Linked DNA regions of Tribolium castaneum. The protein of the gene in region 2 binds, or shares a complex with, the protein of the main gene of each other region. Links are inferred from orthologs where the notes say so. Each region holds a gene or a part of one and is shown on either strand. Other genes may lie near its edges. The genes, in order: MED21, MED8, MED18, MED1, MED23, MED9 and MED16.

Region 1 (2,788 bases), on a different chromosome or scaffold from region 2:
ATCATCGTCATCAAACAAGCCCTTACCCCCTGAAAACAACCCCTTAGGTTCGTCCAAAGGCGGCGGTTCATCGAAAAATAGGTTATCTGGAATTAGCGTTTAGTCTGCGGTCCGCTTCCAAAAACAATTACCGTATTGTGGCGTTTTCTGGATTGGCCGTCGATTGACGTACTCTTGATCAATCACGTTCCCCAATTTCGCCGCCAACTCTTCGGCAAAGTTGGTAGTTGGTTGCACCGGAACTGAGTTTTCACTATCACTCGAATTGACGAAATTTTTCGGTTCAGTTCGCAAGTCCTCAGAACTGGTATCAGAGGTGCCCTTGATCTGGAAAAAGAACCAGATATTGCCCATGGCGACTGGATCGCGACTAAACAAAAAATTCGGTTGGCCGGTTAATAGACCAATAAAATTATGATAATGAATGGATCAAGTGCAACTCAACCAGTGGAAAAACATGTGTAAAGTACCTGTGTTCTGTCGGGAATAATTGGCAACTCTGATTCTGAGTCGCTTTCACTGAAATTATCTGAGACTTTCTCAGTTTCGCTATCGCTGGACGAGTCCTCCAGGCCCACGTGCCACGTCTTTTGCCACTCTTCTGAGCCGATTACGTACGGAAGGGGGCGCTCCAGGTACAAGTCTTTGGGTCTGAGGACAAAACTGGAAAAGACAAACTAGTTTTTGTAAATTATTTAGAAAAAAATTACTTGGGCAAGTCGATATCGTCGTCTTCACTGTCACTGACCGACACCTCAACCTTCTCAAAATACGTCTCCAAGACCTCCAAACCCTTCAAAGCCGCCAACCTGATTTCCTCAGTCTTATCAACCTCTTTCTCCTCGGCTTTCGCCTCAACCGGCTCCTCCAAAGTCTCATCGTCCTCATAAACCCGACTTTCAATAAACTGGCTGTTTCGCAAACTTTGAAACTCGTTTTGGGCTATATTCAACTGGAGACTTGTCTCAGACAGGGAGCTTGTCAAATTTTGCAAGTTATTGTTGATTTCGGTTGTTCGAGTCAGGAGATTCTAAAAATTGAACGCTGAAACGGTTCAATGTGGGCCAAAAATGCGAAATACGTCTGCAAAAGCCTTGAGAGTGTTCAAAAGGGCCACATCTCCGGCTAAATTCCAATTGTCCGAATTTTGGATTATTTCGTCCATGGACCATGGTCGCTCCCACGGCTTGGCCCCGGACATTTCTAAAGCGCTGAACAGGCCTGTAATTGCTATTTTTCATTAATAATAATAATAATTTGACATCTGTCAAAAACTGACTTGGGGACTTTCAACTCGTGGGTTGGCTATTACTCCCCGGTTTTGCGTTATTATTTGATTAAATAAAACCAATTAATTTGTAAATAAAACCGTTCTACTATATTTGAAATCAGGCGTGATAACTAAAATGTAACTTCGGCCCGGTGGGATTAATTTACGCAGACTTTACCCAACCAGATTTGGGTTGGCAATCATGTGTGTTTGTTTTTGCAAGATGTCATTCACCTTCTAGTATTATTCTAGTTATTTCGTACGAATTAATATATTTTGTCGCATATTAAACCTCGGGAGATAACAAATTATCATCAGTGTTGGTTTTTATGTGATTTCGGGTCTTATCACTTGTCGGTGATTGGGTAACATAACCTCAATGGCCGATCGTTTGACCCAGCTCCAGGATTGCATAAATCAGGTAATTCCCCCTAAGACTGTACCACTAATTGCATTCGTGTTGTCGCAGCAAGCCGAGCATTTCTGCAACAGCATTGGGATTTTGCAACAGTTCGCCCCTCCTAGCAAATTCCCAAACTTCGACAGGAGTGGCTCCCAAACCCCCCAGCAACAGAACCAAGAAGACTACGTCCAGTTATTCACAACGTTGATTGCGCGCTGTGCCAAAGACATAGATACTTTGATTGAATCGCTCCCGAGCGAGGAAAATTCAACCGAATTACAGGTACCTATCTACAATGACTTGGTCCGACCGCGGACTAAACACTGTTTCAGTTGCAAAGCTTGCGAATTTTGGAATCAGACAATCAAGAGTCTGCTGAGCGTCTCGAGGCTATAGTTCGTAAAGGTCAGGATCTCTTGGAGCAAATCCAGGCGGCGTTGAGCGACATCGCCCAATCACAGCTGGACATGCAGCATTTGACAAAAGCGGGGAGTAAGGATAGTTAAGTGAGCTGTTAATGAATTTTATTTGCGGTTGTGATGAAAAACAAACACAAATAACCATGTACTATTTACAGAAACATATATACAAATAAAAAAGATAATTTAAATTTTATATAGTAACTAACTCGGTTTAAAGTCTGTCTTGTTTCCCTTTAATTAAGTGTTCCTCGACACGTGGCCGCGCCACACAGACACGGGATTTTCTCGTCCTCGATCGGGAATTTGTAATCGTAAGTAATTTCCTCGTTCACACCTATGCTCTGTTTCGAGTAGATCACTATTTTCTTTTGCGACTCGATTGTGATGACTTTGGCGTAGCAATTCGGCTGTAAAAATCATTTTTTCGGGTTATGGAAGACTGTCGCTTAGGAAACGAAACGAGATACAAAATCGTACCCAAAATGTAAAAATGAGGGCGCTTTGAGCATTATACTGTCTCGGCGCCAAGTCGTTTTAAATTAATTTAAAAACAAATGGACAAATCAAGAACACAAGAAAAATCCTACGAAGAAATTTATGGAGAATAAAATTTTCTATTACACGTACACCAAGAATCATTTAAAAACACATTGTACCTACACCGTTGAAAATGGAAATATGTTGTCGCAAACT
Region 2 (3,872 bases):
AAATTCGGTAGGTTCCAAAAGTAGGGTTATGTTGTCACCCGAAAATGACAAAATTTACACTTTTATGAATTTTGTCTCCATCTCTGCCCTTTCAGAGCGTTATGATAGGATATTTAGGGTCGAAATCTCTACCTTTATTATGTGCTATTGCCAGATAAGGACAAAAGTTCAGAAAGTAGGGTTAGGGTGTATTATGATCTCTTCTGAAGTGTTAAATTTTAACTTTAATGTTTTTTGTGTGCTTTCCTGCTCTTCTAGAGCGCTATTAATTATTATTGAACATGTTTAAGGACAGACAAATCTACCTTGAGTCAACGACATAAATTTCAGTGAGATTTATTGAAAAATGCACTTCTCGTGTCAACCTTTTCATGAAAAAGGGTGTTTAAACGTTTATAAAGGGTATGTTAACGTGTGTTGTTAACTTTACCACGTAATAAAACATAAAGTATAACTTGGTAATTTTTTACTTTAACTACTTCTGGATTTTCAAGCTGAAACTTACACCAAACGATTCCTCTGAGTGCCCTGATGACCGTACACTATGAATTTTCTTGTGCAAATTGAAAATAACATTAGAAAAATAATTTTTATTTTCACTCACTTTTTACTTGAATCGCCATTTTTGTTGATTTTAATTTGAGTTTATTTTTTATAATATCACGTTAATTTTTATTATTATAGTGGATCAAAATGTCGTCTTTAGGTTAGACTATTGCCTACTATCGGTTAGGAACAACATGATCTCCAAAAATATAACGTAGTAATGAGCTCCAGAAGGTTTACGTAGATAGGTGCGTTTTTCCCAAAAGTGAGTTTTTTGAGATCGAACCGCAAGTGAGTCACACTGCGAGGAGACTCCCATAGACAGAAGTTGCAAACATAAGGTGCCAGACCGGTGCCAGTTTGGCTGATTGCAAGTATGTCTTTATCATCGATTCGGTGACGACTATTAGTTTCGTAAACTTAATGGATTTAATAAATATCTTTAACATTAAATGTGATCGTGTCATGTTGGGTAAAATTCTTCCATCTGTGCTGTCTGTGCATCCACCTTTTCAAATACAATTAAGAAATTTTCATAATAATTGTATTTGATAAGGTATTGGCATCATTTTGACGTGAGCAAAAATTAAAAAAATATAAAGTAATCGGAATTATTTTAAATTCGCGCCATTTTTAGTACGTGATGATGCGGCTAGATGGCTTCAGCTAGGAATTCATTGCCAACCATTATGTTCCGCTTCTATTAAAGTGTTATTCTAGGGCCACAGCCATTGCCGTCTCGAACTCCAGGCCGTCAGGTTACTAGCTTTTGTTTATTGTGACGTCATCGTAAGAGTCGTGACATTTGTTCGCATCGTTTGAATATATTGTACTTTTTGGTGTTTTTGAGAGTGTTATTAAGTAATTTGTTGTTGTTTACGAATTTGTTGTTTTGTGGTTGCGTTGTAGGGAATGAATTTTGTGTGTTTATAGTCTTGTGTGACGTGATTTTGACAATTATAGGTTAGGATAGTTTTGCATTATTTTTGTTTATAAATTTGGTTTTATTGTTTTTAATCGTTTAATTTGGTAATAAATAAGCAGATAAGGCATATTTCAGTCTCTAAACCTAACATACTTAATCCTATTGCATTCCTAATTTTAGAAAATGCCGAATAAGTGTTGTGTTCCCAATTGTGTGTCTAACATGAATGGTCCTTATGTACCTATGTTTTCCTTTCCCAAACAAGAATCCCTGCGATCATTATGGTCAAGAAAGATACCCCGAACTAATTGGACTGTTACCAAGAACAGTCGTGTTTATGTGAAATATTTTCGGGATGATTTTATAATAAAATATCACGAAGTGACTAGAGATGACGTAAAATTCTTCGTCATATTCTTATACTTTCGATCACACTTTTACGACTAATTTAAAACATATTTAGCGAATAATAACATGTTGCATTCCATAAGAACCTGTGTTAAAACTTGGATAAAACGGTCGTCTTTAAGTCGCGGTTATTCAAAATTTAGGCCCATAAGGAGAATTTTTGTATTAATAGACGTAACTTTAGACGTTTAAGTACGGCTAGATGGTTTAAACTATCAAAAAATATAAACTTTAATATATGTTTTTCGGGTAATAACAAACGGATAAGGTACTTTAAATCACAACGTATGTCACTATAAAAATTATAGTTGACCGTTCGTTGACCACATTTGCAGTATCAGGATTCTTTAGATACACTTTTCCGTCGTTTCTTGCATAAAACGTTGGACGCAACATAGTTAAAATTAATTTTTTGCAAAAATTCAGAAAGTTAGGTTATGATCATTTAGACTCTTACTGTGACGTCACAATGTCAACATGCAGGCCTGGAGTTCGAGACGGCAATGCCACAGCCGACATACCGTCATCGTGGTTAAGGTTATGTTTTTGTAAACAGCGCCAAAAATACAGCAAAATGCAACAACGGGAAGAAAAACAACTCGAATCGTCTCTCGATTCCATAATCCAGCGTGTCAACGACCTAAAATCATCGATAGCTTCAATGATTTACAAGGTGGAGAATGAATATGAGACCCTCAACTGGCCCACATTTTTGGACAATTACGCCCTTATGTCCGGCCAACTCACCTCCCTTTCGAAGGTTTTAAGCCACGACAAATGCCCCACCCTCAGAAATCTCACAGTACTGCCCCTCATGTTGTCCCCCGAGCGGGACGAACAATTGGCCCAAATGACCGAACACAGAGTCACAACCTTCGCCCATGATTTAGTCCCAGATTATCTTCGAACCAAACTAGAACCGTTGGCGGAGAATAAAATGATGCAATTGGAACACAAGGCGTCAACTTTATCGTATGAGAACGCACAGGTATGTTAAAATTTTTGGTAGAGTATGTTTCAACGCAAACTTTCAGAAACAAATTGCTGCGTATCAAAAGGTTGTGTCCCACGTTTGGGAACTGGTGAGTAAAGCGAGGGAGGAGTGGGAAGTTGAGTCTTCCGCCAGGGGAAGTACGCAGCAGAATTCCAGTGTGGCTGATACTCACTCGCTTGTGGCGGCTGTTGGAATGGGGAAGGGACTCAAGATGGGGGCGAACCCTAACGGTCAGCCCAATCCCACGTCGGGAGGGATGATGGTGCCTCCGCAGGGGCGCCCAGGGGGCACTCCCGGGCAAGGACAGATGCCCCCCAGCACGCAAACCATGACGATGAATAAGGCGCCCTCTGCTATTAAGACTAACATCAAAAGTGCCACCCAAATACATCCATATGGACGCTAGTGAAATAGTTTTTAATGTGTACGGAGATATATTTATTTATTAAGATATAATCTTACAAAAATAACTAAATATAACAGTGGAAACAAAGATTAACACTTTGTAGCGTAATGAGTAGATTATAAAAAGCATTAATTTTATAGACTTTGAAACTATACTATCAACAAATGGTTGAAGTGTGGCTGGTCGGAACGGGTGGCTTTTCCAATAAGTACAGCGGAACTTGAACATTTTCACGATGTATGTTAGCACATGCTACGCATTATATAAAATATAAAACATATAACATTTAGAATACTTGGGACCCAGTCAAACAAAAATTAACAACTTAAAAAAATATTTTCTACAACGTAACGCGGGTGACTGGACCCTGTTTACGTATAATACGCATTTAAAAAAATATAACAAACAACAAATAAAATACTCTTGTGCATAAATTGCAACTATTCTATGGTCATATATTTTCCTTACATGGCAAGAGAATTTTCCTAAGTTTTTGTTCCCTATATACAAAGTGGTACAATAAAAGAATTCAACTCTTTATACTCTCTAATTTGTTAATATACTTTTGTTTCTTAAAATACTGACCAACAATT
Region 3 (2,553 bases), on a different chromosome or scaffold from region 2:
TATTCAATATGTTATAGGCAGATAAATCTACCTTTGAGTCAACGACATAAACTTCAGTGTGATTTATTGAAATGTATATAGGGCAAGAATGAACTTTTCGTGTTAAACATTTTGATGAAAAAGGACGTTTAATCGTTTATAAAAGGCATGTATAGGTGTGTTAAGTTTGCCATATAATAAAACATAAAATACAACAACTTTTCTATAAAAGCATTTTGCAGAACTCTTATTTATTATTTTCACTATTTTCCTCCTTTTATTTGTGCAAACGAGCCGTTGATGTGAAATTTTGGTGTGAAAATTACTGGTATCGCCACAAATTGTGTTAAATTTAAGTCTCCAGAAAATTCGGTTTTAAAAGTAGGGTTATGTTATCATTTGGAAATGTCAAATCTTTCATTTTTATGGATTTTGTGTCTGTTTCTGCTCTTTTAGAGCGTTATTAATTACTATTGAATATGTTATGGACAGATAAATTTACCTTTGAGTCAACGACATAAACTTCAGTATGATTTATTGAAATGTATAAAGGGCAAAAATGAACTTTACGTCTTAAACATTTTGATGAAAAAGGGCGTTTAATCGTTTATAAAGGGCATGTTAAGGTGTGTTAAGTTTACCACGTAATAAAACATAAAGTACAACAACTTTTCTATAAAAGCATTTTGCAAAATTCTTATTCGTTATTTTTACTATTTTCCTCATTTCCTGTAATAACTGATTCGCCCTTCGGAGGCCATTCTGAATACTGTAATGAATTTTTAAAGATAAAATTTGCGAAATCGGAAAATTTTAAAGAATCTTTAAAAATTCATTAAGGTCCCAAGGGGTGTTTGTCCGAACATGATTTTTAACAGTCAAAGGCCCTATCGAAGAGCTTAATCTCCTGCAAAAATAAAGAAAATTGCATATAAAGGGGGTGAAAAAAAATCAGTTTGCATTGCTTGAATATGAGAATAAAAAATGCAGAAATTAAATACAGTTAAGTTTTAATTTGTAATAGAAACTCATTACAATGGTCAGGAGATGTTCTACAAATGTGTTATGCAAGTCAGCGTAACAACTTATTGATGTTTTTATAATGAATTACGATTATTTTGATAATTTTCCTGGTGTGAACTTGGCTGTAGAAAACGAGAATGGTGGGGAAACGGTGCTAGCTCCATGCGCGCAGCCCTTGTCTGGTCGACTGTAATTTTCATGGTGCCACCACCATTTTTGGGGCTGTCTCCGCCGACATACACTGACAACTTACACTTCAATCAAAACATAACCTCCAAAAACTGTGATAATCTTCAGTAATTGTCGGAAATAGGCCGTTTTCCGCAAAGTGATTGTCACTGTTACAGAAATGGGGACTCCTGGCACGGCCATCGACTCCCTAAACGCCGCCCTCAAATGCAACATAATCCCCAACCAGGAGTACCTCCTCCAGGGCTCAGTCTTGGACCAATACGTCGAGGTGCTCCTCCACCGCTTGCGCGGGCTGTGCGACAACGTAGACAGCGGCCCTGAGTCGTTCCACGACCACGAATTGTGTTTCACCCTCCGGGCCACCAACCCAGGGGCCCCCATGGTGCTCCCACTGCGAGTCCGGCGAGCCCTCGACGTGCCCGACGCCGCCTGGCAGCTGCGCTACGTGGGGCAACAGGAGCTAGGCGACAAGAACCGGCCAACAGTCGTCAGATCGAGTATTGACATGGCTTGCAGTTCCACAATTGTTGAATTTTTGACCGAGCTTGGATGCAGAGTGGATTTTGAGTACATCGCCCGGGGGTACATGTTCCGCAAAGGCAGGATGAAAATCACAGTGTCGAAGATTTTCAAAATGGGGAGCATGACGAGTAAGCCGGGCGAAGGCGTAGAAGCGATTTCCCAGAGTTATTTAGTTGAATTGTCCGTTTTGGCCCCGAGTGGACAAGATGCTATTGCGGAGGATATGAGAATTTTTGCCGAGCAGTTGAGGCCGTTGGTTCAGCTTGAAAAAATCGATTATAAAAGACTTGGAAATTTACCGTAATTTATTTATAAATAAAATACAATTAAGATTTAACTAACAACAATCTATATAGCCTTGAAAAATCCTTAAAAAATATTGCCAAACCTTTCCCTAAAACCCTGAATATGTCTTTTTATACTTTTTTAAATAAAAAAGTTAGGGGGTGTCTACTAAAGTGATGACACCTGGTATTTTAACTACTTTCCCAAACTTTGACTGATATCTTAAAAACTAACAGCAATCTACACAGCCTTGAAAAATCCTTAATAAAATATTGCTTAACCATTCCCTAAAACCCTGAATATGTCTTTTTATACTTTTTTAAATAAAAAAGTTAGGGGGTGTCTACCAAAGTGATGACACCTGGTATTTTAACTACTTTCCCAAACATTGACTGATATCTTAAAAACTAACAGCAATCTACACAGCCTTGAAAAATCCTTAAAAAAATATTGCTAAACCTTTCCCTAAAACCCTGAATATGTCTTTTTATACTTTTTTAAATAAAAAAGTTAGGGGGTGTCTACCAAAGTGATGACACCTGGTATTTTAAC
Region 4 (4,197 bases), on a different chromosome or scaffold from region 2:
GAAGCTTCTCTGTCTTTAAAGCGTTTAATTTTATTCTGTTTTTTTTTAAGAAAAACAAGATTAATAATGATACCAATGTTTTCTAAATACACTTAATTAATTTCTGGAAATGTTTATTGAAGAAGAATATAAATTTTGTTATAAAATTCAATAAAACTATTCGTAAAACTAAAAGGATGAATTTTTATAACTCATTAAACTAATGTATTTACGTGATTTCTGGCAATTTTGAGTTATTTAGTTTATGCTTGTATTACAAAGCAACTTGTTAAAAAAAATAACTACTACAATTTTTTTTCTTTTAATTTTATTACACTAAATCTGCCACTAGCTGTTTCAAAACTATAAAAACAACAACGACGCACTTTACCAAATATTTTTTAAATAAGGTTGATAAAATTGTAAAATAGTTATTAATGATTAGATATCTCATTGAAAGTATAAATTACATTAGTTATTATTTTCTTCAACTGCATGAATAATTTATAACAGCACACATCACAGCAAATTTTGTGAGAAAATGTGACGTTGACGTTTTTATAGTTTTGAAACAGCAAATACAATGGTATAAAGGGGACCAAGGTTCTTCTTTAATATCAGACGATACCTAAGGTGACGGGGGCTATTATTAATTTATTACAGAAATAAAATGTAAAACACCCTTCGTGTAAATTATTTTTTGTTGCATTTGGTTTTTGAAAGCTTTTCATTTTATCTGAATCACATGGAGTAAAATAAAGTAGTCAATCTTGCTTGATTTCTTCTAAAACTCCCTCATATCATGTTTTAACGGTTTGGAAACATTTTTTGTAAAAAACATCTATCTAAGAAATTTTGAAATACAGTAAACTAAGCAATTTTATGTGATTTTTGTTGAATGCCTACAAAATAATAAAAAAAAACATTATGTGGTATAAACTAACGCACAACGTATTTGATTTCTTTATAAAAAAAAAAACGAGAATAAACTATTCAAAATTTTGGAAATGTGCCTATGGTGTACTATTATCTTAGTTGTGATGTGTTAGCGGGCATTTGCTCCAGTTCTGGGGGAAGATGAGGAGATTATCGTGTCAGCAACTTCTTGCGATCTAAAAAGTTGAAAAGTTGTAGCGAATTACGGCTTTAATTGTCATTGACGGATCTAATACGAAATTCGTTGGTAAAAAACGCGGATTAATTCCGGGAGTTTGTTTTACGACCACATTTCATTAAAATATTTGCGTTGCAATAAGCACAACATATGTGCCACCAATTCAAAGCACTCCAAAGTATCAAATCTTGATAAAGTTGAGAGTTGGTAAACACAAATGAATGGAAAAGCACTTGAATATTTTTATTGTTATTGTTATTATCAGACACGAGTTTGAATTGGGCGCCGGTGGCGTAGCCAAATATCCCTAAATTGGGGAAAGTAACGAAACTGTCAAGTTTTTGTTTGGTGCTGATGTATGTTCGAAAAATCGGTTTTTTTCCCTTAATTCGCCCCAAATAGAAAATGTTTACGAACATTTAACGTTAATTTCGCCCGAACTCATCATGAATCGCGTAACAAACGGTGGGTTGCGCGCCCCAGCCAAGAGTTTGACTTTTGACATTTACAACTTTGTTTACTTTTAAGGCAATTTAGCGATGCCACCGTCCGTTGTGGACAAATCCAAAGACTGGCAGTTGGAGATATTGATGGAGAAGCTGCGCTCGAAGGCGTCGCAGTACAAAAGCTTGACAGAGATATCCAAAAATGTGCGAATGGCCATGCTTGTAGGTTATGTCATGTCTGGCACTGCCTCCATTGATGCCCTACTTTCAGGACAAGCGCTACGCGTTGGACAGCGTCGAGAAGAGCCAGCACCAGAAATGCCTCGACACTCTGCAGCACTCCATCAAAGTGACGTCCTTGCAGAGCATGATCGAGCGGCTGGAGAGCTTGACGCGGCAGCTGGGGCTCAAGTTCATGGTGGGCCCCTCGGGGGTGGAGCTCTTCATCTCCTCCGACATGTTCTACCTGGAGATAGTGCTCGACCAGACGGGGGCCGTCAAAGACGTGAAAGTGCACCATGACAGTAAATTGGAGCAACAGAGTTGCGCTGAGCTCGTCAATTGTTTATCTAGTGGCGATTTTGCCGATTTCACTGCCCAGTTGGAAGGTTTTGCCTCGATTTACCAGCTCAATGCTGAGAAAAAGGTCAAGTGTAAGGCGTTCACAGCCTTGCAGTCGCTGGAGTCTGATTTGAGCACCTTGGCTCACTTGCAGTCTTTCATGAAGGAACCTTTCAACCTGCTGTATAAGTCTCCGGTTGGGGTGCTGGAGAAGCGCCGAGGGGGACACCCCATGAAACTCACCTATTTTGTCTCTCCTTATGATTTATTAAATGTTGAGAAATGTGATATTGAACCTATTACTGTTGATACGATCGTTAGTAAAGCGCTGGGGTACAGTGTGACGGTGTGTATGGAAGGGTCCGCTACACATAAGTTGCAAACGACCACTCTCATCACAGTTAATAGGAATATTAACGGGAAAAGGTAAAAATTATTAAAAAAAATTTTTTTTTCTTTGAGGGAAATTTATTTTAGTACGCCGTCTTTTTCATCGCTAAGTAGCCAAAATAGTGCAGCAATTCCGGCCTGTTTTGTCCTCAAATTAAACAAACCAATGCCAATGTGTGTCAATTTAGTTAGACAAATTCAACAAGTTACTGAATTGGATACTATAGAACAATCAGCAACTCATCCGTTACTTAGTTTAATAGTACATCACGCCAGTGAAGGGAAAATGGAGTCTGGGAACAATAAGGGCCTTTTTGTGGTAAGTGGTTGGCAATAATATTTATAAAAAAATGGTCATGTTGACTACTGATTCTCCTAGTTTGCGGTACAAACTTTTCGAGAGCCAAAAAATGGTAAATAATCAAAAATAATCTACTTAATGAAGTTCCTCTGACATTAAAAAATTCTAAAATCAGCAATTTTAAACATAAATACAAAATGTTTCTTACAAAATGATTTTTCTTATGTGTTTTTTTGCTCTATAATTTTGTTAAATAGAATTAGATATTTTATTATTATTATATTTTTTATTTTTTTCTTCAATCAAATTGTTTATTTTTTTGTTATTTCTCATTTATTGTCTGGGTCAAAACCTTGATCAGCTTTGCTGTCTTTTGGTCCACTTTGTGGTAGGAACAACTCGTAGAAAATTTTAATTTTGTTATCGTATTTTTTTTCTTGTTGTAATTAATTATATTGTAACTGTTTTACTGCCACAAATAAATTATTATTATTATATTATTATTAAAAAAACAATTAATTTCACGTCAAAAAATAGTTAATTAACCACCTCAATTCTTGATATATAAGCAGCCATTTCATTTTAACGGACGGGACACTATAGATTTTTTACCAATTTTTATCACCAGTATCAGTAGAAGTGAATTTTTCTTTATAGGAACTTAGTACCAGTCAAACAATTTGCAACCTACAATAGTCGGAGCCACATTTGTAAAATTTGAAATATGAGCAGGAAAAAGAATACAAATTGGTGACGGACGGGACACAAAAAAGACCTTACATTTTTATCGCTAAACAATCTTTATAAAATTCTGTTAATTTAAAAGGCACTAATTCTAAGAATTACTTTATAAATAAATGGTAGATTTTGTTGAAACTTTTGAAACCACGATTAATTTACTTTTTGTTTACACATGGCGGATGGGACAAAAAAATCTTGTGTATGAAAATAACTCTAAAAAAATTATTTAGGCAGGTTTTAATTATTAAAGATTTTAACAATATCAAAATTAGACTGGAAATTAGAAACTTATGTCCTGTAATTGTTTTTTTTAATTAATAATTTGAATATTTAATAATATATAAATTAATGCTTAGTCAAGGCATCCCTAATAATTTCTTCGAACCTTCTCCCAAATACAACGCATTCTTTTTCTGGAGTTTGAGGGGGTTTCAAATTTGAAAAAAATCTCAAAAAATTCACACGTTATTCACAACCTATCCTCAGCCTCTCTACTAAAATTTAATTAATTTTAAAAATCTTAAAAATAAATTAGTTTTAGATTCACAAGTTTTAATAATAACACTAAATCTAAATGTGAAAAAAATATGATTTTTTTGTTTTTATTTTTTTTTATCAAATCTTTTCTTTTAAGATTAAGGACCAGTTTCGCATTATAATCCCTT
Region 5 (4,282 bases), on a different chromosome or scaffold from region 2:
CGGGGGCAAACTTCTCGGGGTATTTCCGGTGAAACTCCAAGTGTTTCTCGTGCCAGTTGGTCTGGTTCCAATGATCGGGCGAGTTGTCTTTGACGAAATCCTGCACCCGATTCCTAAACTCTGTAGCTTTAAGCAACACCAACTGGATGATGAACGAACAGACTTGAGCCTCGCTCCCTTCCTGCGTCCGCAGCGCCAAACACAAGACCAACCGATCGATTGTCACAATATTGTACTTCCAGATCATGTCATTGATCGTATCCACGCATTTGTTAACATGTTGCCCCCCAGGACTGTTACTAAACTCGAACACGAGACAATCACAAAACTTCCTCAAGTGGGCCGAAAGCGCCCTTGCCCCAATCCTCTCCAGGATTTTGTAGGCAATTGGCGTGATGTGATCAGTCTCGAGGAGCATTTTCCACAACAAACAGAGGAAAAGTGGGGGCGCTCCCGCAACCCCAAAATGCGCCATCATGTCATTTTCGTTGTTCATGGACGACCACTTCCGGTACTCCTCCTCCACTGCTTTCTTCAATTGTTGTTTGTTTTCTTTAGGGACGGCATGTTGCGTGAAAAACTCGGCCAGAGCCCTGGGGAAGCATTCGAGGGTGTGGGGGGCCCACGCATGGGGGGTACTTTGTGCAATGGTCGCCAGCAACTCGTGACACCACGAGCCGTCGGCCCCCGTCACGTGCGTGGCCCTAGCTAGGGTCAAAACCAGCGCCCGATTCAACTCTTCCGATTCCGCCGAAATTAACGTCTTGGGTTCGGCTAAAAAGCGGCTCAGTTCGGGCTGAACTTCGCCACTGCCCAGCCCCGTGATTAGACGCAAAGCGGTCGATTCGACACATAAGTGCAGTTGGGTTTGGTTGGCTTGCGGCACCGCTGCCAACGAATGCAAGTGGCTGAGTAACTGGACACGGTAGTGGGGGTGGATGTGGTGCATCCGATAACTAAACATCTCCAGAAGTGTGTAAAGGGTGCCCCAAGCGTGTGACTTGTATACGGTTGGCAACAACTGGCTTATGAACCCTTTGATGCCCAACGATTCGATCTCGGTGTACACCAACAGGCGACTGTACGTTTCCACCAAAGCTGGTGATAGTGGCATTCCTAACTTGGCCTGTGCTAGTTTAATCACGTGTGTGACAATACTATGGATTAAGCTCATTTTCGAATGCACAGTTAATGAGTCCAAGACGGCCATGCTTAAAGGCGCGGTAGGTGGGGCTGTTGATTTGGGGCTCCCTTGGATCGTCTCAACTAGCGCTGCCATTGGCTTACTGTAATAATCGGGGTTCGTTGAGTAGGCGTTGCACAACAAGGCGATTCTGTAGTCATTTCCCATCGCTAACACGGTGTTATTAGGGGGCACCAACTGTTGGAGGAAATCATGATGGTTGCGTAGTTTGGCGGGAATTGGCCAAGTCAAGTTGGTCATTTCGGCTTGCGCTTTCTTAGTCAAGTGGATCCAAATGCACGTCATTGCCATCTGTCTCGTACACTGGGGCTGGTTGAAGTCCGGAACGGGCAAAGGGGGCTCCTGTTCCGGAAACAACAGTTCGTAAAGCCGCAAAACTGGGAGGAAATTCGAGAGGGGGTTCTTCTGAATCGAACCGGAAATAAACTGCAAGAGGACCCACATGAGTTGGTCGCGCCCTCTCCGCAAGTCGCGCCCTTGCAGTCTCGAATGCAACGATATAACAATGTTTGGGAAACTCGCAAATTGGAAAAGAACAAAATAAATTAACTGGGACGACAAGTGCAGCCATAACCCTTGAGTGGCGCTCTCATCGCCCTCATTTTCCGTGCGTTCCAGCGCCAAAATCACCAACTCGACCAGTTGTTCCTCAAGGGCGGCACAGTGTCTCTTGTGCTGTTTCTGCAACCCTAACATGCCACACACCATGTCGCGACTGTACGGCTGTTCCAGAACGTATCGTAATAAACCGGTTTGCTTCTCTAGTAATTCGGGAGCGTACGGTAAAGTGCCCTTAAGCGAGAATCGCAACGTGCACGGGTCAAGTTTCCAGGGATTGACCAAGTGTTCGGGACAGCCGCTGTGCTCCACAACTGGCCGCATTTCCGCCTGGCCTACGATAGCCACCATTTGGGCACAGGCCCGAAAACTGCCAACGTAATCGGAGAAGAGGGCAGCAAGGCGCCAGTGGGGGCAGTCAGGGTAGGCCTTCTGGAGCTCGTTCACTAGGAGATAGCCAGGCAGGAGGCACGCGTTCCTGTCCATGATTCGTTCAGCGACGCTTAAAAGAGCCTGGGTTTGGGGCTGCAAGCCCGCGTTCAAGCGCCAGGGGAGACTTTTCGCCTTCTCGCAACATCCCTACAATCAACAATCAAACAATTACCACAACAATTCCCCACTTACTTTCATAATTTCGCGAACGCCCTTGTATTCAACCAAATCTATAATTTTCCGCACGAGTTTAAAGCACTCGATCCAGAACCGCGCATTGGTGTGTTGTAGTTTATCGAAATTCATCACCACCTCACACACGATACGGGCCCCAATGGTACCGTTGCGCACGACACTTTCCAGGAGCTCCATCAAGAGCTGGAGCTTGCTTTGGGAACATAGTACAGCAGTGTTGAGGTACTGGCGAAGGGCGGTGTCTAGCTGCTCCTGGGGGATGCTCCGCAGGGCTGTGTTCAACTCTTGTTGCCATACAGCCACCTTTTCCTTTTCGGCACTGGGGCGGTGCACTAGAAAGCAACTAAAGGCTTCTTCGATGCCTTCAACTTTGAGAATGTCGGTTAGGACGTTTGTTAGTGGCTCGCCCATCGTGTCCACGGTTATTTTTCAGGCGAAAACATTATTTTGTGGTTATTTGAATGGGATAATAACGGTAGGTTATGTTTGGCCGACTACATGTTTAGGCAACACATTATACAAGCGCCTAACACTGCAGAACCGTATTCGATTATTTTGACTTGCTGGGTGAATCCTCAGAGATAATAAATAATTGCGTGCGTTGTAAGATGTTATCAACTCTCAAACAACGTCAATCTAAATTATTCCATACCTAGCCACATTGTAATAAAATTCATATCAGCCCGAATCTATTCGTTTATTTGCATATCCACTTCATACGTGAAAATTTGTTTGCTTATCTTTTAATAAAGGCAATATTATTACCGCACGTCTCGTTCATTATGCGCTTAAAGAGTTCTTTTTGTCTCACATTTCGATATGAACTCACAGTTCATAGAACAGGTGAGGTGTCACTCATTTAAATCGTTTTAATTTATTTGTTTCTTCTCCCTAGGTGCAAATTTTAATGCACGCTCAACAAATTAAATGTGCGGAAAGTATTTTTGGGAAATCAAACTACATGTGGCTTTGCAGCAAAAGAACTCCCGTTATTTGGATGTCGACGAAAGATGAATTCTTAATTCGACAAGCCCTAACAAAGGTACAATTTAATTGTTGCAATTAAACGTGCAATTATCCTTCTTTAGGTCACTCCTGACCAACAGGTGAAAGTTATGAAACAATTATTGACTTGGCTGGATAATAATCCCGAAGTCCACTCTTTGAAAATCCCTGAAATGTCGCTAAAGCTCCTCAACAACATGGCTAATGCCAATGCCATGAATGAAAGGACTTTTTCAAGAATGAATAGTTTCAGAAACAGTCTGAGACGCTTGTCCTTAATTACGAACCGAATCGCTCCCGCAAACACACCCAGAAGATCCGTAACTTTCAACGACGTTCCCATAATTTACCGCATAAAATACTGACAAAAAAGTAACGAAACCTTTACAATATCTATGTAAAATTTGTGCCGAAATAAATGCACCTTAAAATTTTTGTTTTTTGAAAAATCTGAGTTAAAAATCAGGGTAAAAAGTCAAATTCAACGTTGTTTTTGATGTTTGAAAAAAATGCATAGAAGATAGGAAAATGACCAAGAAAACTAGGCATATACTTGATTATCATAAATTATTGCAAATTGAATGAACCCATTGGAAATTTCTAGCACTCCCTCCCTTGTTTGAAATTCTCCACGCGTCCGTGGCGCATGCGCATTTTCATCTTACGTGTCAAATAAACGTCAAAAAAGCGCCTCCCTTGCCCCTCTCCGCACTTTTCGGGCCAGTGTCGAGGCACGGACGTGTCAAAAACGCGTGTGTATGTTTTTCTGTTGAATTATTTCCACTTTTCCGTATTTTTTTCCTGTGAACGATGGCTCCCAAACAGCGGATGCGTTTCGCCAACGAAAAGGCCAGCAAGAACGTGGTCTTGCGAGGGAATGTGCCCAAA
Region 6 (4,296 bases), on a different chromosome or scaffold from region 2:
GAGCTAATTTACTTTAAATGGAATTGCTTTTCTTTTAAGCGGACGCTCCAATAAACGGACGCAGACAATGCAAATCAGATCCTTGAACACAAAATCTCGCCTTCAAGCAGACAGCATGTTAATTATGACAATTCGTCAGAAAAAAAAGAATACATGTTTTATTCAATAGTAAACTGATTTAGATTCTGGCCTCAGAAGAGGTTTTAAAGTTATGTGTATTATTTATTGTGGCTTAGTGCCAACAAAATTGTCCGTTTGTGAGAGAGTTCCGCTTATAGGTGTCCGTTAAGAGAGATTTCACTGTGTATTTATGCCCAGTAGGGCATGTAAATAATCAATCACCTTGTCGTTATTTTTGTTCTCAATGCCGTATATTTCCTGCAGGAGGTAGCAAAGACCGTCAACGAATAATTTCTGTTTGAGAGCTTTTAAAACATAAGTACCGTCGGACAATTTTTCGGCTGTGGCGATAGTTGTGTGTGATTGTCTCATTTCTGGAACAATCAATTCAAAAATTAAATTCAAAAACGGGTCAAACCAACCCTCAGCGCCTTCCTCCGCCACACAGTGAATGGCAATTGGAATAATCTCCCGGTCAACATCATACAACAACTCCTCTTCTGTGTACTTCGAGGGATCAAAAACGTGAGTCATTTGGCAAAACTGTTGGTTCGCACCGCGTTTGTAATGAAAAGTCTCGGAGGTCGTGTTAGGGTCACGCGGCAAGTACCTTCAAACCCCATAAAATTGCAAACCCATGACAAAAACCCAACTTACGTGACTCCACTTGGTGTAAACTCCTCGGTACAAAAATAGTAGATTGTTATTGCACACCTGACGTCACAATCGAACGTGAACTCGATATTAAACGTCGAGCTCTTGCCCAGCTCAATATCCCTGATGTCCCGCTCGTTCTTTTCCGCCGGTTTGGAATAATCAGCAGGGGCGCGGACAAACCGCAGCGACTCTTTCCGGATGTTCACCAGACTTTTGAGCGTTTTTGTGGGCTCATTAGGCTGGGGCGGGGGGTAGGGAAACTAGAAACGGCACTGTGGGGGCGAAACAACCGCATAATGGCTACTTACAGGGGTTGGTCTACTGCCCAGGAAATTCAAATCGGAGTTCTCGCCGAAGAGGTAAGACTCGGGCTGGGGGGTGTCGAAGCGCTCGCCCCCCATTATAAAGTGGCTCCCGAAGTAGTTCCCTTCAGAAAAACGCCTTCAAGGTAATTGGTACGGAAAAAAGCAAAGCGACATACCAGACCTGGGCGGGTACTTGTACGCGTGGTTTGACACCACGTCCACTTCCTCGACCCCTGCGTGTTGTCTGCTAGCCAACGAACCCATTCTGCGGGCTTGAAATTGCCAAGTTTTTCCAAAATCAGAAATTATTGTTGTTTTTAGTTTGACATTATTATTGACACTTGTGACATTTGAGGCGTCGTCGCCAACACCAGGGACACAAAATCCCTGAGTGAATGTGTCAGAAAATTCATGTGGGAAAGAAAATTCAATGAAAATTCAGGAAATGCCTTGCTATGATGGAATCTGACGAGCACAACCAGGAGTCAGAGAGGAATGTCACGGTGGAAAATTTGAATATCGAGATCTTGCCCATTATCTACGAAATAATACGCAGGTTTGTTGATAAAATTAGTGACAGGCAAAATCGTAATGTCTTGCATAATCATTCAGTGTTGAGAAAGACCACCACGATAACACCGCCAAGGCACGAGAGTCGCAAGACTGTTCCCAGAAGGTGCTCGAGTTGCAAAAACGTTTGGACCAAGCCAGAGCCGAGGTAACTTTCTTCCACCCTAATCACTTCATACCCATAGTAGGGGATACGAATTAGGATCATACTGTACTATCTTCTGGTTACCGGATGAAAATATCTTTTTATCAGAGATAATATCCAAAGTCCAAAGGATTGTATCGCGAATAGGTTTCCTAAAAAAAATGTTCCAGGCCATGGTAAAGGGGGCTAAAAAGCGTCGAATTTTAGCCTTTTTTCAGTATTTTACAACTGAAGGCTACAGGGGAAAAACAACCTCAGTCCACTTGTTTGAGAAAATGAGGTGGGGTTGTAATATTGTAGTTTTTGAGAAAACAATCAGATAATTGAAGCGGGAAATAGCAAATACGACTTCAGTATTGAGCAAAATATGTTACAAATTACACTATAATGAAAAAAGTTATGGTTCCACGTTAGAAAACTTTAAGGATATAATTATTTTTTAGCTCACTGCAATCAAGAAAATAAAAAAAGTTAAGAGGCTTGTTAAAATTTGAATAACTTTAAACTTAAATGAAATACCGTATTTTTTATTTTTGCATCTAAAAGACCTTTAAATTGTCTATTAAAGAACATTAACAGTTAAGTGCTGATTACTCAAAAGATTATACTTAACTTAAAACATTAAAAAAAGTCATTAAAAATTATTCACAATTGTTTCAATAGTCGAAGAGTAAAATTTTCAGCTAATAATAACTTTATTATTTTTCAGTTATTTTTCACAGTAAAATAACTAAAATTTTCTTATCTATGGCGAATTTTTAAATCCCTGTTTAAACTCCAACAAATGATCCGTGGTGAAGTTGCTAAGGTTATGGTAACAGTAATCCTCATGAATAATCTGCATTGTTGATGAAATTAAATTTTAAAGTCAAATATTTGTTTAATTATAAAGGTTAGGCATTTGAAACTTTGTTTTTAAGTAGACAATTTAATAATCTTTGAAAAATAAAAACAAAAACTTTTATTATGTTATTCAACTTTTAACAAACTTCATAATTTTTCTACGTTCCTAATTGCATGCGTTAACCAATTTAACTTTGAACATTCTTAAAAAAATAAGTTTGTATTGTAGCTAATTTCGGAAATATCCTATACAGGATGATTCAAAAATGTTCGACAAACACTCGTATGGTGATAAAAGACGTTCAGTTAAGCACAAAAATGAAGTCAGATTTTTTTATATATTTTTAAGTTTGTATTCCTTAGCAACGGTATCGATTGTTTCTCTTTTGTTTCCTAATATGTTGAATTTAAGATATTGTCGAATTTACAAGTTTTTTTATTGTTTTGCACATAATTAGACATTATTTGTTAATTTTTTTCAACAGGTATTTGTTTAATGTTGCAAGAGATGTCGTTTCTGCTAATTAAGGTCAAAAAAATATGGTCCGAAGCATCAAAAAATTAACTTAAAAATTTAACTTTGAAGAGCTGTAGCTATCTCGTGAAAAAAGACTCAAACAATTTTTTGTCATAGGAACTTTTAATTCAGTTTGATGTCCTTTATCAGCACCCGAGAGATTGTACGAGTACTTTTGAATTACTCTGTATATTTGAAAGTAGTTTTAGATGAGGCAGGTGATTAGTATCTACAACTTAAGGAAAAATAATAATAATAAAAACCCGTTATATGTACGAATAAACAGGTGGTTTCAAATGAACAGCAAAGTTGCTGTTCTCTGCTCTTCCACTTAAACCTTTCAAACAAGAAGAAATATACAGCAAATGAATAAAGACAAAATAAAAAAAAATTGACATAACAAACCAGTACAAAATAACCAGTAGATTCCCATGACTGTCCTTGTTCGGAAAATTATTTGTCAAATATTGCAGCCTTGAAACTATAAGAAGATTCAATTTCTAGAACTGTCGATGGATGCTATTATAATCTTTAGCTACATTAAAAAAGGGACTTTTAAAAGAGACTTGTGCGACTTACGGTAACATTATGTATGTCACGACGGAAGATTATTTCATCAGTGGGACTTGGAAGTAACTATTTTGTGATATAAATAAAGTCCAAGTTTTGTTAATTTGATTTTTATATAGCATGGTCGCCTCACGTCCACTTTCAATTATTTGATCTTTATTTTTTTAAGTTTTCATTTTTTCTTGTTAATTTTCAATACTTTACACAATCATGCAAAATTCGATTGTCTAATTTCAACACTTTTAAATTTGTGTTTGTTAAATAATATTACATTGTTGAAAATGAACCTAGAATGATTCAAAGTGAAAAAACTTGAAAAACTTTATTTATACTCCTTCCTCAAAAGCCCAAGTATGTTGGAATTTCCTGATGCCATAGGCAAACCGGAGACAAGAATTCTGAACCAATTACTTTTCTAACAATTAAAGATAAATAATGGACTTTACCTACTCGCATTTTTGATAAAATAAGCTTCATCCGTTAAACAGATGAGTGCAGAACGACCGTAATTCGAATCTTAGACTACCAACCCCTTGCAGATCCGGCTATTGCCCGGGATTGAGTACAGC
Region 7 (3,961 bases), about 770 kb from region 2:
GTCACGCCCACCCCCCTGCTGACTGGCTGCGTAATTCGATTGACTTACACTACCATTAGTGGGGAGGTGGATATCTATTTCTATGTAACAATAGATAGATATGCCCGTACTCTTATTTCTTGTCGTGACTATGCTTGTGTTTGAAATAATGGTTTGTGAAGTTTTATCAGATTTTTACACGTCGACTAGGTATCACAAACCACTATTTTGCGATTTTAATTTTAAACTTTGCTTCCTTTTATACATCGTGAATGGGGCTCTTCGCTCTGGCTCATCTATTTTTAAATATTCTTTATATAATAATTTATTTTAAGATTTTATGTAATTTTATAGTGAAATTCGACAACGTTAAATTTTCCCCGATTGAAACTTTTAAACGCACAATTCGTGTCTACCAATAAGAATGAAACGATGTGTAATTGTTGCTTGTGCATATTACCTAATTCCCCTAAGTACTTACGCTTTTGCATTTATTTTTTAAAAACGAATAACATTCCTCTCAAGTGACACTATCCGATATCTCTAGCGTTATTTCCCAGATGCCCTACAGTTATTAAAAATCGGTACTAATTTATGAAAGGCGTTGTTTCTTGGTTGTTTTAGTCACAACTTATGTCTTCATTATTTTAAGATTGTTATTAAAGGCATTGTTTATACAGTTATAGGCCATTATGAAAATATTTTTTGTATTATACACTTAGAATATACAATAAAAGTCCTTTACAATTTTCGTTGCAATTTATTCAAACCACCTCCACGAAATAGAGTTTGCTAAATTCTTATAGCACCCACTGGGGCATGACTACTTTAAAAAAAGGTTACTAAATCAGGGGTTTTTAAAGCAGTCGCATGTGGACTTGCTTTACTATTGCAAGGTTTGAAAAGGAACTGAAATAAGACATCCAGTATTTAAACACCAATATCCAATTAAACTCCGCCCAGGTGGGTACTTCTCGTATTTGGATACTTTTATGTTGTCCCTCGTAACGTTGGCAATGTTTCGCGCGCAACCAGTATTGCATCTCCCGAGAATGTACACTCATGAGAATTCTCTACTAATCGCTAACCTTTTATTTTTTTTTCTATCCATCAAACCTAAACTCAGAGCTTACACAATTCGAACAACACTTCGTAATTTACTTTTGTGAGCAATTTTATGAGAATAGAAGATTTCTCGTCAGCGTACATTCACGCGTATGCCCGACAGCTGTCAGGTGTCAAAAATCTGCCAATTCAGTAAAGTTTTAAAAAGATGCTTCATTAGATAAATACCGAAAAATGGACCATATTTTCACCATTAATAAGAAAATAAATAAATCGGTGGACACCAGCAAGCATCTATCATTCACCAAGTACCGCCCAAACGAAAGTTAACCATTTACCAACCGTTTGAATTCCAGACTCGAGAAGTCAACCTTATGCTCGATTTCAAGCTCCAACGTTGTTGCTTTCAGCACGGAATGCAATATCGAAGAAGCGGGTTCCCTCTTTTGGAACTCTAATGTCTACGTCTGCGATTTAAACAGTCCCTGGCAGGTCCACAAGTACGTCCCCAAAAACACTTTCCTGTATTAAACCTCCATTTCCAGAATATTATCAAACTCTTCCCCCATTTCGGTGCTCCAGTGGGACTTTACGGGCGACCTTCTGCTAGTCGCGGACGAAAACGGCTCGATAAAAATTTACAAAGCTAAAGACCACATCCTAAATGACTGGACCCTTGTCCTCCAGACTGTCCTAGAAGGGGAGCACATTCTGTCAGCGGCGTTTTTCCACTCGGGCAAGAAAATCTGCCTCAACTCTGAGAAAAAAGACAGCGCTTTGTACACGGAAAAGTTTCACCATGTCAAGTTTGCCTGCTCTGTTAAACAGTTTGGGGGGCGCCCTGCCAGTGGGGCCCTGCTACTCACAACGACGGGAATGTTGTGCTCGATTTTACTCCCCCAAAGCACGAGCCAGGTCGCAATGGTCATGGCGACAGAAAGCCTGGCCCCTACTAGGATTTTTATCAAAGCTGCTGATATTTGCTATGGCAAAAGTAGGTTTTTTACAAAATCATTTAAACACCAAATAATGTTATTGTGTAGACGGTCATTTTTTGCTCGCTGTGAGTAACGGAGACTTATCAATGCCTATTCAGTGTTATAAAGTCTCTGTCAGGAAAGCTGAAGATAAGTGTGTCATCACAAGCCAGTCTTTACTCAGTTTTTTTCTATTTGAGGCGCCTAAGGAAGCATTAAGTAACAAACTGAGTCATTTAAGCCGTTGTTTAACGTTTGTTTTAGTGGAACAAGTTTCCAAAGAAAAAAATTGCCACATAAGTCATATCAAATGGATAATGAGAGAGGACGCAGATTCGGTGGTTGTTTCAGCCACTAGTGATAAAATAAGCTGTTTGCAAGTGTGGGAATTGAGAGAGAAGGCTTTGCCGGTTCACAAATCACTAGGAAAATCTGAAACTCCCCAGTTTTTTAACACTGTCGTACGTCTATTATCTCATCATGTGATAATCGATACTTACTTATTTTTTAGTTGTGGCAATACCAGTGCCACTTCCAGTATAACAGCAAGGTCACTTCACTAGCTACAAGTAAACTAAGTCTATTAAATAATGTTTCAAGTGGTTATGTCGTGGCCACATTTGCCGACAATTCCATCCATTGCCTCTACAGAGACACTCTAAAACATTTGGTCAGCACCACTTTGACCATTTGTCCGCGTTATTTTGACGAACCTCTCGCCAGATACCCCAAAACTAGCATCAAAATCTCAAACATTGACATGTCCTGGCTCGGCAATATTTTACTCGTGATTGATTCAGACGATAGTCTGCATATGTTTAAGTTACCGCCCCAAATCGACAGCTCAACGCCTCTAAGTGTACCTTACTGTACCACGATTTTAGAGTATTGCATGATGAGCGGTTTTGATTGGTTAGACTTGTTGCTAGTGTTAAGACCTGGAATGTTGGACGCGATATGTGACCGACTCACCGAAAGTTTTAATCGCCAGCCCTCGGCAGTGCAACAGTTTTTCTACGTGCAGTATTTGTGCATGAAAATATCGCTATGCAGGTAGGTTCCTAGTTTACCGACATTGGGTGACAAAATTTTATTATTTAATTATTGTTTTAAATAGAAAGCTTATGATTTTACTGTATTTTTGTATTATGCGAGATATTTTAAGGAGTTTTTACCAGTTTTTTTATAGCAAAGTTAACAGTTTTTGTAATATTTATATTTTTTTGATTTGCACCTTCTTTTTCAAAAATCGAAGTTCCTGTAGAGTATTTCAAAGAAAATGATTAGATTTTTTTCAAATTTTAAATTCCGTAAAGAGTGACAAACTCTAAATTTGAAAGATTACGTTTGAAGAAATTCAACTACTTAAAACACAATTTTGCCAAATTGATTCTTTCTTTACTAAATGAAGAAAAAAACTACCAGTAATTTTGCATCGAGCCAACTATAACCACCATAATATTTTTCAAGTTATTTATAAAGCTTAGGGTTACATTAAAAAAAATGAGATGTTCCCAAACGTAACTTTAAAATGTTTTTTTTAACTTTTTTGAAAACACCAATAAGGGAATAAAGCTTTCTCTTCTAAATGCCCAAATACGATTTCGAAATATTATAAATGACAATGTTGTCGATTTTTGAAAGGGAAGGTGCAAATCTAAACAGTTTTAAAAAAATATAAATACATATCTAGAAAACAAAAGGAAACATAAACACAAAATATTTGAGAAAAATTTGAGTAGCCAAAAAAAAGCAATAAAGAATATAGCTTTTCACTAAAAAAAATGTTTCCAATTTCTGTATAAGCGGAAGTGCCACCACCTTGAAAATATTTTGATACCTGACTAAACAAATTTTTTGATGAATATTGTTATTGGAACCGGAAACACTTTTAATGTGTGCTTTAGGCGCAACACCTCGAATTTTGCGAGTAAAATTCA

What was found.
Region 1: MED8 (region 2) and MED21 share a complex: the UniProt entries of both Drosophila melanogaster proteins name them as parts of the mediator complex. The link is inferred for Tribolium castaneum from reciprocal best matches to the Drosophila melanogaster genes MED8 and MED21.
Region 3: MED8 (region 2) and MED18 share a complex: the UniProt entries of both Drosophila melanogaster proteins name them as parts of the mediator complex. The link is inferred for Tribolium castaneum from reciprocal best matches to the Drosophila melanogaster genes MED8 and MED18.
Region 4: MED8 (region 2) and MED1 share a complex: the UniProt entries of both Drosophila melanogaster proteins name them as parts of the mediator complex. The link is inferred for Tribolium castaneum from reciprocal best matches to the Drosophila melanogaster genes MED8 and MED1.
Region 5: MED8 (region 2) and MED23 share a complex: the UniProt entries of both Drosophila melanogaster proteins name them as parts of the mediator complex. The link is inferred for Tribolium castaneum from reciprocal best matches to the Drosophila melanogaster genes MED8 and MED23.
Region 6: MED8 (region 2) and MED9 share a complex: the UniProt entries of both Drosophila melanogaster proteins name them as parts of the mediator complex. The link is inferred for Tribolium castaneum from reciprocal best matches to the Drosophila melanogaster genes MED8 and MED9.
Region 7: MED8 (region 2) and MED16 share a complex: the UniProt entries of both Drosophila melanogaster proteins name them as parts of the mediator complex. The link is inferred for Tribolium castaneum from reciprocal best matches to the Drosophila melanogaster genes MED8 and MED16.

The regions. Positions count from the first base shown.
Region 1 is NC_087401.1:8,393,385-8,396,172, forward strand, and holds MED21 (mediator of RNA polymerase II transcription subunit 21), read left to right. Parts: upstream 1-1,461; 5' UTR 1,462-1,649; coding exon 1,650-1,691; intron 1,692-1,739; coding exon 1,740-1,955; intron 1,956-2,005; coding exon 2,006-2,179; 3' UTR 2,180-2,288; downstream 2,289-2,788. Other genes in the region: FAM21 (WASH complex subunit 2A), read right to left, coding at 1-86, 132-327, 471-663, 711-1,030, 1,082-1,201; Set1 (histone-lysine N-methyltransferase SETD1B), read right to left, coding at 2,329-2,502. UniProt on the Drosophila melanogaster protein: Component of the Mediator complex, a coactivator involved in the regulated transcription of nearly all RNA polymerase II-dependent genes.
Region 2 is NC_087396.1:15,801,447-15,805,318, reverse strand, and holds MED8 (mediator of RNA polymerase II transcription subunit 8), read left to right. Parts: upstream 1-1,264; 5' UTR 1,265-2,348; coding exon 2,349-2,867; intron 2,868-2,913; coding exon 2,914-3,279; 3' UTR 3,280-3,372; downstream 3,373-3,872. UniProt on the Drosophila melanogaster protein: Component of the Mediator complex, a coactivator involved in the regulated transcription of nearly all RNA polymerase II-dependent genes.
Region 3 is NC_087394.1:9,286,578-9,289,130, forward strand, and holds MED18 (mediator of RNA polymerase II transcription subunit 18), read left to right. Parts: upstream 1-1,140; 5' UTR 1,141-1,298; intron 1,299-1,349; 5' UTR 1,350-1,351; coding exon 1,352-2,020; 3' UTR 2,021-2,053; downstream 2,054-2,553. UniProt on the Drosophila melanogaster protein: Component of the Mediator complex, a coactivator involved in the regulated transcription of nearly all RNA polymerase II-dependent genes.
Region 4 is NC_087399.1:8,918,250-8,922,446, reverse strand, and holds the start of MED1 (mediator of RNA polymerase II transcription subunit 1), read left to right. Parts: upstream 1-1,397; 5' UTR 1,398-1,539; coding exon 1,540-1,558; intron 1,559-1,621; coding exon 1,622-1,761; intron 1,762-1,810; coding exon 1,811-2,526; intron 2,527-2,577; coding exon 2,578-2,809; intron 2,810-4,197. UniProt on the Drosophila melanogaster protein: Component of the Mediator complex, a coactivator involved in the regulated transcription of nearly all RNA polymerase II-dependent genes.
Region 5 is NC_087394.1:35,203,805-35,208,086, forward strand, and holds the start of MED23 (mediator of RNA polymerase II transcription subunit 23), read right to left. Parts: upstream 2,801-4,282; coding exon 2,387-2,800; exon of another isoform or gene 2,342-2,386; coding exon 1-2,341. Other genes in the region: stress-associated endoplasmic reticulum protein 2, read left to right, coding at 4,205-4,282. UniProt on the Drosophila melanogaster protein: Component of the Mediator complex, a coactivator involved in the regulated transcription of nearly all RNA polymerase II-dependent genes.
Region 6 is NC_087395.1:15,956,684-15,960,979, reverse strand, and holds the start of MED9 (mediator of RNA polymerase II transcription subunit 9), read left to right. Parts: upstream 1-1,496; 5' UTR 1,497-1,537; coding exon 1,538-1,638; intron 1,639-1,694; coding exon 1,695-1,800; intron 1,801-4,266; coding exon 4,267-4,296. Other genes in the region: Mrgn1 (E3 ubiquitin-protein ligase MGRN1), read right to left, coding at 343-494, 543-730, 778-1,037, 1,086-1,218, 1,264-1,346. UniProt on the Drosophila melanogaster protein: Component of the Mediator complex, a coactivator involved in the regulated transcription of nearly all RNA polymerase II-dependent genes.
Region 7 is NC_087396.1:16,567,347-16,571,307, reverse strand, and holds the start of MED16 (mediator of RNA polymerase II transcription subunit 16), read left to right. Parts: upstream 1-1,161; 5' UTR 1,162-1,278; coding exon 1,279-1,352; intron 1,353-1,400; coding exon 1,401-1,544; intron 1,545-1,589; coding exon 1,590-2,038; intron 2,039-2,087; coding exon 2,088-2,240; intron 2,241-2,285; coding exon 2,286-2,482; intron 2,483-2,532; coding exon 2,533-3,074; intron 3,075-3,961. UniProt on the Drosophila melanogaster protein: Component of the Mediator complex, a coactivator involved in the regulated transcription of nearly all RNA polymerase II-dependent genes.